3 linked regions of the Canis lupus familiaris genome follow. The protein of the gene in region 1 interacts with the protein of each later gene in a pairwise test. Links are inferred from orthologs where the notes say so. Each region holds a gene or a part of one and is shown in the gene's direction. Other genes may lie near its edges. The genes, in order: INSR, MAD2L1 and SHC1.

Region 1 (3,651 bases):
GCCAGGTTCGATTTCGGAAGGGGTTGTCTGACCCAAGCAGCTCAGCTTTTTCCAGTAGTGCAGAGCGGGCCCCTGGTCCTCACACTGTAGTTTAATTGCATTTGCACGTGGGCGTGCGTGTTTACTGCTCTGCATAACTGTGTTCCCCGTCAGTGGAAGCCACCACTCTAGGAGCCCATAGATGTGACTGGCGATGGATAAGTCGCCACGATTTTCCTGCCCTCATGCAGGAGGTGCTCTTTATCTGCATCCCCCAGCCCCTGGGTAGCCCCTGGCCACCTGTGGCCATTTACATTTAAGGTAACTTAAATTAAATAGAATTGGAAATGTGTTCCTTGGCTGCACTGGCCACATTTCAAGCGCTCAGTCGCCACCTTGAGCCTGCTGGCTGCCATATCGGGCCATGTAAATGTAGACCGTGTTCATCATCATCACAGAACGTTCCACTGGACAGGGCCATTCAAGGGTGAACAGTAACATAGAGCTTGTATAAACAAGATAAGGAAGGCTGGGAAAGGAGTCCTGAAGGGAACACAGAGTTCCTTCGTAGAGAGGAGACACCTCTCTCTGCAGGGAGGCAGGCTTTGGGCCAAAACTTGTAGGATGAGTTGACCTGAATGACAGCATGCCAGGGGGCACTCCAGCATATGCCAAGGCCTGAGGCCAGAAGGATGGTTGATGTGGGGTGAATTTAGAGGAACGTGGAGGAGAACAGACCAGAATGAGATGTGAGGTTAGGGAGAGAGGCAGGAGGCAGACCTGGAAGGGCCTTATTAGTCAATTAGTCACCGAGGTATCATCCCAAGGAGCCAGTAGGAAGCTAGAAGTGATGTGATCCTATTTATGACCCCAAAACGACATTATCAGCAAGGGAAGCCAGAAGTGGTGGCATCCTCCTTATAATCCCCAAAGACCTCTTCCCTTAGCCATGGGAAACAAGAAATAGTATGATCCTGTAGCTTCTCTTGTGCAGTGGACTGTCCGGGTCAGGATGGGGGGAAGGTCCTGCAGGTGAAACTGGCAGTGAGCCTGGGGCGGGGCTGGAGTGATGGAGAGGAAGAGTTGGATTAGAGCAGGATGTGGAAGAAGAGTGGGTAGGACGCGCTGCTGTTGTAGATGTGGGTATGAGGAGAGAGGTCAAAAGGGGACCCAATCCTGGGTTTTAAGCTGGGCATCTGGGTGGTGGGGGGCCCATACCTAGCAGAGAAGAGCATGTTGGCTGCAGAGACCCAAAACTTCGGTTTGGGATAACTGCAAGGTCATGGGTGGGAAGGAAGTATTGCTGAGAATGGGATTCCCAGGCTGTGGGCCAGAATGTTGCTTCTTGGCCACTTGGTGCTTCCTTATCCTTCCCCTTACCTGGTGGTCCACTCTCTCCCTCTATTTCCCCATGAGTACCCTCAGAATCCATTCTCACTGGACTTGACCGCCACCTAGGTGAGCATACACCTGGGGCAGGTGAGCCCATCTGAAGGTTCTCCAAGGCATGGGGCAGTAAATATGGAGACACCTGGACTGTAGGCTAAGGGTTAAGACCATGTGAATCATTTGTTGTCAGACTTTGGGATGACCAGAGACATCTATGAGACGGATTACTATCGGAAAGGAGGCAAGGGTCTGCTCCCCGTGCGGTGGATGGCACCGGAGTCCCTGAAGGACGGGGTCTTTACCACTTCTTCTGACATGTGGTGAGTTGTGCATGGATTGGCGGACAGAATGCTGGGCTTGAATACCAGGTCCTCCCACCAGTGTGACCGGCAAGAGGGGGCCAGTTAAAACCCGCCTTCCTTCCTCATAGGCTCTTGATCCGGGAAGTGAAGGGGATGTCCTGTCTGAGGACCCTTGCACGGCTACTTGTGATCCGATTGACACTAATATAGGCATTTCTGAATGCAGCATGAATTGTTTAATTAACTGGCCAACCGCGTTCTAGGAAACCAAGAAAGGGGGCATGTGTTTGTGTGTGTGTGTGTGTGTGCGTGTGCTCTAATGGCTTTTTTGTTACTACTTTCAACTGTCGTTGGCAGGTCCTTTGGCGTGGTCCTTTGGGAAATCACCAGCTTGGCAGAGCAGCCTTACCAAGGCCTGTCTAATGAACAGGTGTTGAAATTTGTCATGGACGGAGGGTATCTGGATCAACCCGACAATTGTCCAGAGAGAGTGTAAGTGTAGAAAGAGTGCAGTGCGCGGGCTCTTCATCAAAAAGGCATCACCCTTTGGTTTGTGTGTCTTACGTCTACACGTGAGCTGGTGTTAGCATGTTGTGTCTTCGCATGGACACTTTTTTGCACATCATACTACATATATGCACGTCACATCTTTACACGTGTGCTGTCTTGCATATCATGTCTGTGGAAGGCTATAAAGAAACCCCACAGCAGTGGTTACCACGGGAGAAGGCAACTGGGTGGCTGGGGTGGGATATTTCTGCTTAACTGTCGATCCTTTATATACTTTACATTTTGTCAGGGAATTAATATAATCTGACATATCAATTATATCTCAACAGAATTGGGAAAAAAAATCATAAGCATAAACATTAGAATTATTTTTTGGTCAGGGAGATGTGTTACCTATCTCCCCACTCCCCCAATTTTTGTTGTAAATTTTAGTCATAGAAAAAACAATTTTTTTTGTTATAGGACCAAGACACACAAACAGGCCATTAAACACTTCCAGACTTGTCCAGTCTTACTAATAGTCTGATAAACATAAAGTAAAATGAAGGAAAATACTATCTTCCTAAATTAGCAAAAAAAGGGAAGGAAGAACAAAAGAAAAGAGAGCTTTAATACTCTGTGCTGGCAGTGGTTTGGCTAGATAATCCTTCTTATCCCCCTGTTGTTAATAGCTGCTCAGAGCAATGTTATTTTAAAATTGTATTTATTTATTTGAGAGAGCGAGAACACATGATCAGAGGCAGAGGGAGAAGCAGACTCCCTGCCAAATAGGGAGCCCGACATGGGGCTCGATCCCAGGACCCTGAGATCACAACCTGAGCTGAAGGCAGACACTTAACTGGCTGAGCCACCAGGTGCCCCTAGAGCAATATTATTTAAAGTCTCAAAAAGATTGAAGTGATCTAAATACCCAGCAACAGGAGAACTGCCAAGTAAATTTATAAATTAAAATGATGTAGCAATTGAAATTTTAAATGATGCTTATAAAAATATTTTACAACTTGGTGGATAAGCCTATGTTAAAATGTTAAGTGTAAAAAGTGTGCATCTATTGTTTCCAAATGTCTCCAGATAGAAAAGGCAAGAGGTGAGATCTGTAGGAGAGTTGAGTGCAAACTAAATTTTCTTCATGTTTTGGTTCTACGAGATTGTTTGCATATAATGTCCTTTATCAATGTTTCTTAAGAAAAAAGTTTCCCCTCCTGGAAAATTCAGGGGGAAAGACCATTTGGAGGCTTCATCCCCCAAAGAATAAGACTGTTAATTTAGAAAACTCGTTTGGAAGGGGACCTCATAGGAAAAAGTATGAAGCAGAGTTATTTAGAAACTCTGAGCAGTTATTTCTAAATGTTGCTTCTTGAAAGTCCTTTCCTAGCCATGAGCAGCTGCCTGTAGTTTCAGGACCAGGGAAATGAAGTAGGCCCTAGGGCAGGGGTCCATAAATTTTCTTTTTTCTTTTTATTTATTTGAC
Region 2 (3,667 bases), on another chromosome or scaffold:
TGGGTGAGGCCAGATGGGGACCAGATTTACCAGGTCCAGGATTTAGAGTTAGGGTTAGGGTTTAGGCTTTAGGGATTAGGGCTGGAGGGACTCCATCCCTGGTCTCCAGGGTCACACCCGGGCTGAAGGCAGCGCTCAACTGCTGGGCCACCAGGGCCGCCCCCCCCAATTTCTTTTTTTTGTGTGTGTGTAAGATTTTATTAATTTATTCATGAGAATACACAGAGAGGAGAGAGAGAGAGAGAGAGAGAGGCAGAGACACAGGCAGAGGGAGAAGCAGGCTCCACGCAGGGAGCCCGACGTGGGACTTGATCCCGGGTCTCCAGGATCACGCCCTGGCAGAAGGCGGCGCCAAACCGCCGAGCCACCGGGTCTGCCCCCCAGTTCCTTAACAGCTGCGCCCGCACACAGTCACCAGGCCTTCTCAAGCTGTGGCTGGACCGCCACGCACGCGGTTTCTTGACTGACTCCCAGAGTATCTAAGCAAGTTTCAATCGCCCACTAGGGAGTGGGCGGGGTCCCTGGGCCACGTTAAGATGCAACTGGCGCGTTCACATCACTCTGAAAATAGCTTTGAAACTGACGAACCGGGATCCTGGGCTGCTCACTCCGCAGGCCTCGGGAGCGGGCGTCAAAGCCAGGTTTTGCGGTCGTCTCGCCTCAGCTGCGACCCGGCGACCACAATTACAGGTGCTCGGTAGGGACCCTTCCGTGCCCGACAACCCGGAAGTGCCTGACCACGCCTACCCACTGCGCCTGCGCGAGGCGCCCCTCCCGCGAGCGAGGAGACTGGCGCTGGGCCTGCCGGGAGGCTCGTCGCGCCTGCGCGGAGGGCCCCTGGCGTGCTGCGTCGTTACTTTTGAAACGACTGGCGGGGAACTTCCGTTGGAGGCTGTGGCGTCGCCGTCCGCCGGGCAGCAGCGCGCTCCCTCGTCCCTAGGCCTGGCCATGGCGCTGCAGCTCTCCCGGGAGCAAGGCATCACCCTGCGCGGGAGCGCCGAAATCGTGGCCGAGTTCTTCTGTAAGTCCCCCTTGCGCAGGCCAGAGGGCGGGGAGAGCTGAGGCCAGGCCGCCCTGGAGGCCCGGCCCGGCCACGGAGGCGGGGGTCGGGGTCGGCTCTCTTTGCTCCAGCGCCCGCCGGGCTGGAGAATCTAATCTAGGAGGAGGCGGATGCAGGCGCCACCCCCGGGCGCCTCGCTCCTGGTGGAGCAGGAAGCCCAGGTGCTGCCGAGGCCCGCCTGGCGCTGCGGCCCCTCCACCAGCAGCCTTGCTTTATTTTTTTTTAAATTTTTTTAATTAATTAATTAATTAATTTATGATAGAGAGAGAGAGAGAGAGGCAGAAACACAGGCAGAAGGAGAAGCAGGCTCCATGCACCGGGAGCCCGATGTGGACCGGGAGCCCGACGTGGGATTCGATCCCGGGTCTCCAGGATCGCGCCCTGGGCCAAAGGCAGGCGCTAAACCGCTGCGCCACCAGGGATCCCAGCAGCCTTGCTTTAAACGGCGGATCCGACACGCTTCCCAGCCCGGCCCCAGCCCCACGCCTACGCCCACCCCGAGCGGGGTGGGGCCCCAGTATATCTTGAATAGCCCTTCCACCAAGCTTTGACCCCGGTACTGACGGCGATGGACTAGATTTAGGAAACTCTGTCCTGGACCAGGCCATGTTTGTACCCTCTGATGGAATCTGGTAGGAGAAGAGGAGGGAAAAGTGAGGGAGAGGCTTGCTTTGGAACATTGGACCGGTTAATCAGTTGCTAATCCAGACGCAAAAGCCTATTTCGACACCCTGTGATCACATAACCTGAATTGGGGCTTGCATTACCGTGAGCTTGTAGTTCTACTTTGACACTAGGTTAATGCAGTTTGGCATTTTTAGTTCCGCATAAACGCAGGTATCGTGTTCTTTTTACTTAGAAGCAACATTTTTAAGGATTTTCAGTGGCACTTTTCACTTACTCTGCTTTCAGCAAGACACCCACAAATGCACGTTTAGGCTTTTTCAGTTTGATACCAGGAATGAAACCGCAGCCACATCTAAATAGGTTTTATTTTCCAGAGTTGCAAAGTGAAAATGACTTTAACATTCCTTTTGTTTTCAGCATTTGGCATCAACAGCATTTTATATCAGCGTGGCATATATCCATCTGAAACCTTTACCAGAGTGCAGAAATACGGACTCACCTTGCTTGTAACAACTGATCCTGAGCTCATGAAATACCTAAATAATGTAGTGGAACAACTGAAAGGTATTTAATTGTTGAAAACCATTTTGAGTTTTGCAGGCTTTCTTGGACCCGTACTTTCTGGCATCTTGGTGTTCATTTTTCAGCGCTATACAAAGAGGTGTAAAACACTGCAATTTCAAATACAGTGATTCTCAATCGGAAGGAAGCAAATAATAAGTTGAAAGAAAGTCCACTCTTCCCTACCACATTTTGAGTGGGCTAAATACTTTGATGTTAGAAATCTGATCTGGCTTCACAAAACAATCTCTATCAACTCCCTTTGAAGTGATTTTTGCAGTTCGTGTAGCCAGGTGGAACAAGTTGGAATTTTACATAACTATGATGATGTTTATTATTGGAGAGAAATCCACTATATATTTTTAACATGATATATTTTCTATAGCTGCCTAGAGTTTAAAACCATCATTATTTTAAGATAAAATGAAATTGAATCCAGCCTGGGAACTAAACTTAAAAAAAAAAAAAAATACTACTAATAGAGTACCCAATAAAGTTTTTTAATGTCTTACTGTCTTCAATTGTCTTTGTTAAAATCCTGCCTGTAAGTTAGCCATTTCTATCTGAACACTCACTGTTTTTTCTTAGCTCAAGAAATTACTGAATACTTGTTGAATGAATACTTGTTCTCCATCTATTCTTTTTTTCCCCCCATCTTTTTCTCTACTTAGGATTCTCACTTCTAATTTTTCTGTGTTATAGGATGTTTCTCCCTGGCTCCTCATTTGACCTTCCAAAACTAGTTCCCAAAAAAATTACAGTAATTTTTTTTTAATTCCTGAGTCATATATATATTTTCTGTTTCAAGGGGCTTTATTTTTTAAATTCTATTAATCATATTTTTATCATCTTCAGGGCTAAATCACCCAGGGCTATACTCAGATTACTTAGCCTGAAACATAGAAGTAACTAAGAATCTATGTCACCTTAATTTGATGAAGAAGCAAGCCCTGCCTAAGCTACTGATTTTAGGTTGTCTCCTTTAAGACTACACTGATGACATTTCACCTCAGTTGTATGTGAGTTGTATGTGAATTAAACCTTCCGATTTAATTTGTCCCTTTTAGTTAGAATGGAGGAATTGCTCTTCTTAGAGGCAAATTGTTCGATCTCTTTGAATCCCCATCACTCTAGCCTTCCTAAGGACTTTACCCTAGTTCTTCTCTGGTATTTCTGACTTCTTTGTTTTGAGATATTTTCATTGGTTTCATCTGTCTTCAGTTTTAAAAGAAAAAAATTTCCACACACCCCAGATCTTTAAGTGACTACCCAATCTCTTCCTTTTCAGAGCAAAATTGAGAAAAAGCTGATTTTTGTCAAGGGGTCAGCAAGACTGACCGCCCATATCCAGCAAGTGGCCTATTTTTGTACTACCTGCAAACTAAGAATATTTTCAGATTTTTAAAAGCTAGTTTTTAA
Region 3 (2,947 bases), on another chromosome or scaffold:
GGTACATAGGGGAGTGGGCTCCTGGATCAGTGAGTATAGGAGGGAGTGGGTCTTGGTCACTTGCTAGTGATGGCTTACCTTCAGGGATAAAGGATTGAGAGAAAGTTAGGGGAATCAGTCTAAGTCTGAATGAAAAGCAGCACCTCTCTGGTCTGGGACCTTCTTATTTATCCAGTCCTGTGTATGGTGGGAGAGGTGGCAGAGGCAGCTGGCAGCTGGAGCCTGAGTATAAAATGGGGTGGATGGAAGATTGCTGCTGCCTTTGGGATGGAATGGGACATTTGGTCGCTGGAAGTAGGTGGGGCCAGACTCACAGAGGCCCTAACCCAATCAGCCAGGAAGTGGCCTCTCCGTGTCATCAAATATTAAAGGCCTTTAATTCAATCCACCATGACAAAGAGCCTGGAGTGCCCCTGAAGTCTGGCCTGGTCTTCCCCTCCCCCTGCCCTGTGGCAGCCCCAGCTGAGTGGGAGGCAGGCTGTGGGTCTGAGGACCCCTTTCTCTCCAGGGAGGCCATCAGTCTGGTGTGTGAGGCTGTGCCCGGTGCCAAGGGGGCTACAAGAAGGAGAAAGGTACCTGGGGCTGATGGGGCTGGGGGCACTGCTGGGAAATGTGGAGGAGCAGGGGGAAGATAAGTCTGGGACCTGTGGGGGGAAGGCCAAAAGGCGGAGGGAGGGGGATTCGTGGTGTGGGGAGCCCCCAACTTCTGAGACTCTGGGCCCTTCCCTAGCCCTGTAGCCGCCCACTCAGTGCCATCCTGGGGAGGAGTAATCTGAAATTTGCGGGAATGCCAATCACTCTCACCGTCTCCACCAGCAGCCTCAACCTTATGGCCGCAGACTGCAAACAGGTTGGTGGGGTTGGGCAAGGGGGCCAGAAACACTGCTGGGAGAGCGGAGCGGGGACCTGGCCACAGGGCCAGGAGCTAAGACAGGAAGGAAGGAGGAGCATAGGAGGACCTGGGCTAAGAAGCCAAAAGGGTGGGACTGACACTCCAGGGCTCCGGGCCCGGGCTGGGGGTGCCCAGGAAGGCCCCAAGGCTGCCTGACCTGTGTTATTCCCTTCCTTCTCTGTACCCTGCCCTAACCCTCAGATCATCGCCAACCACCACATGCAGTCTATCTCCTTTGCGTCCGGTGGGGACCCGGTGAGTTGGGGAACAGGGTGGAGGTGGGGGAGGAGTAGGGGCCATGCTGTCTGGAAAGAGGGTGTGCTGGGGTCCAAGTGGTGTCTGGAAAGGACCAGGATGTGTAGGGGTCAGGAATGAGGTGGGCTGGAAACTGGAGCTAAGTGGCTTCTTCTGACCCTGCCCACCCCAGGACACAGCTGAGTACGTCGCCTATGTTGCCAAAGACCCGGTGAATCAGAGAGGTGAGGCGTGGTGGGGAGCGCTGGGTGGGGCCGGCTGTCCGTGAGGCAGGTGAGCAGGACCTGGGTAGCTAAGTAGGGCTTCGGCTGGGAAGATGAGGCCCCTGACCGCGCCTCCTCCCAGCAGTCCACCAGAACTCACTGACTGCCTTTACTGTGCCCCCAGCCTGTCATATCCTGGAATGTCCCGAAGGGCTTGCTCAGGATGTCATCAGCACCATCGGCCAGGCCTTCGAGTTGCGCTTCAAACAATACCTCAGGAACCCGCCCAAGCTGGTCACCCCTCATGACAGGTGAGCGGGTGCGCAGGGTATGGGCAGCTCCTAGGCACTAGCTGGAACTGAGAAAGCAGGTCTGCTCCACTGCCCACGCTTGAGCTCAGAGAGGGTCAGGGGGAAATAACCTGTGTGCCTGTTTCCCACTTCCTGCTATTCTTACGTTTCCTGTGGCCGTCAGGAAAGTCTGGCCAGGTCCTGCCTGCTTCTGCAGGCCCGCTCTTCCTCTCGTATGCCAGGCCACCGTGCTGCTGCTCTGCCCTTCTGTCCTCAGCCACCTCACTGCTGGCCTGTCTCTCTTTCTTGACCATTTCTCCGTCCTTATTTTTTCACTTTCTTGCCCATAGAGCCATCAGGAATTTGGGTGAGGGAGGGTGTCTTTTTTCCTGAGATCTCGACCTTTCTTTCCCACCTTAGATCAGTAGCTACTGAGTATTTAGAGGAGGTTAAAATATTCTGGAGTGCATCCCTTCTTTCTACTGTGTGCTTCCCCTTCCTCTTGGGAGATAGCATAATAACTGAGAACATGAACTTTAAATCAAATCTGATGTTACCATTCAGGTCTGCCACCGTTTAATTGTGAAACAATAAGCAAACGTCTCCACCTCTGCTCCTCATCTCACCTGTATCACTGGAGAAGGGGGTATAGATACCTTGCAGGGCTGCCAGGGGGATAGAATGCCTGTGTGTAGGAAACGCCCAGACTCAGGCCCACCCTGCAGGAAGTACCCAGTCCATGGCCACTGTCTGTGCCCCCTTGTTCCCTCCTGTCCCTCTCAGGATGGCTGGTTTTGACGGCTCAGCTTGGGATGAGGAGGAGGAAGAGCCACCTGACCACCAGTACTATAATGACTTCCCGGGGAAGGAGCCCCCTCTTGGGGGAGTGGTGGACATGAGGCTTCGGGAAGCAGCCCCCCTGGGGGCTGTTCGGCCCACCCCACACGTTGTCCAGACCCCCAGCCACCTGGGAGCAACGCTGGTAAGTTATTTGGATGGAGGTGGGCTGGGCCTGGGATGGGAGTGGCCAATTTGGGCTTCTGGTCTCATTTCATTTTTGTTTCTGCAGCCTGTGGGGCAGCCTGTTGGGGGAGACCCAGAAATTCGCAAACAGATGCCACCTCCACCACCCTGCCCAGGTGTGAAGGGAGCTGGGAAGGGCAGAGTCAGGGGTGTGGAGGCAGGGCTGGGGTCACGGTGATGCCTCTGTTTCCTTATCAGGTAAAGAGCTCTTTGATGATCCATCCTACGTCAATGTCCAGAACCTAGACAGGGCCCGGCAAGCAGGGGGTGGGGCTGGGCCCCCC

The links.
Region 2: the proteins of INSR (region 1) and MAD2L1 interact in binary tests that used the Homo sapiens proteins (3 or more experiments, as listed by UniProt). The link is inferred for Canis lupus familiaris from reciprocal best matches to the Homo sapiens genes INSR and MAD2L1.
Region 3: the proteins of INSR (region 1) and SHC1 interact in a two-hybrid assay, tested with the Homo sapiens proteins (2 studies listed by BioGRID and IntAct). The link is inferred for Canis lupus familiaris from reciprocal best matches to the Homo sapiens genes INSR and SHC1.

The regions. Positions count from the first base shown.
Region 1 is NC_049241.1:52,431,226-52,434,876, reverse strand, and holds part of INSR (insulin receptor), read left to right. Parts: intron 1-1,558; coding exon 1,559-1,688; intron 1,689-2,027; coding exon 2,028-2,162; intron 2,163-3,651. UniProt on the Homo sapiens protein: Receptor tyrosine kinase which mediates the pleiotropic actions of insulin.
Region 2 is NC_049239.1:56,411,326-56,414,992, forward strand, and holds the start of MAD2L1 (mitotic spindle assembly checkpoint protein MAD2A), read left to right. Parts: upstream 1-828; 5' UTR 829-948; coding exon 949-1,021; intron 1,022-2,104; coding exon 2,105-2,251; intron 2,252-3,667. UniProt on the Homo sapiens protein: Component of the spindle-assembly checkpoint that prevents the onset of anaphase until all chromosomes are properly aligned at the metaphase plate.
Region 3 is NC_049228.1:42,491,404-42,494,350, forward strand, and holds part of SHC1 (SHC-transforming protein 1), read left to right. Parts: intron 1-508; coding exon 509-572; intron 573-730; coding exon 731-850; intron 851-1,093; coding exon 1,094-1,147; intron 1,148-1,319; coding exon 1,320-1,371; intron 1,372-1,534; coding exon 1,535-1,661; intron 1,662-2,423; coding exon 2,424-2,622; intron 2,623-2,709; coding exon 2,710-2,779; intron 2,780-2,861; coding exon 2,862-2,947. UniProt on the Homo sapiens protein: Signaling adapter that couples activated growth factor receptors to signaling pathways. Participates in a signaling cascade initiated by activated KIT and KITLG/SCF.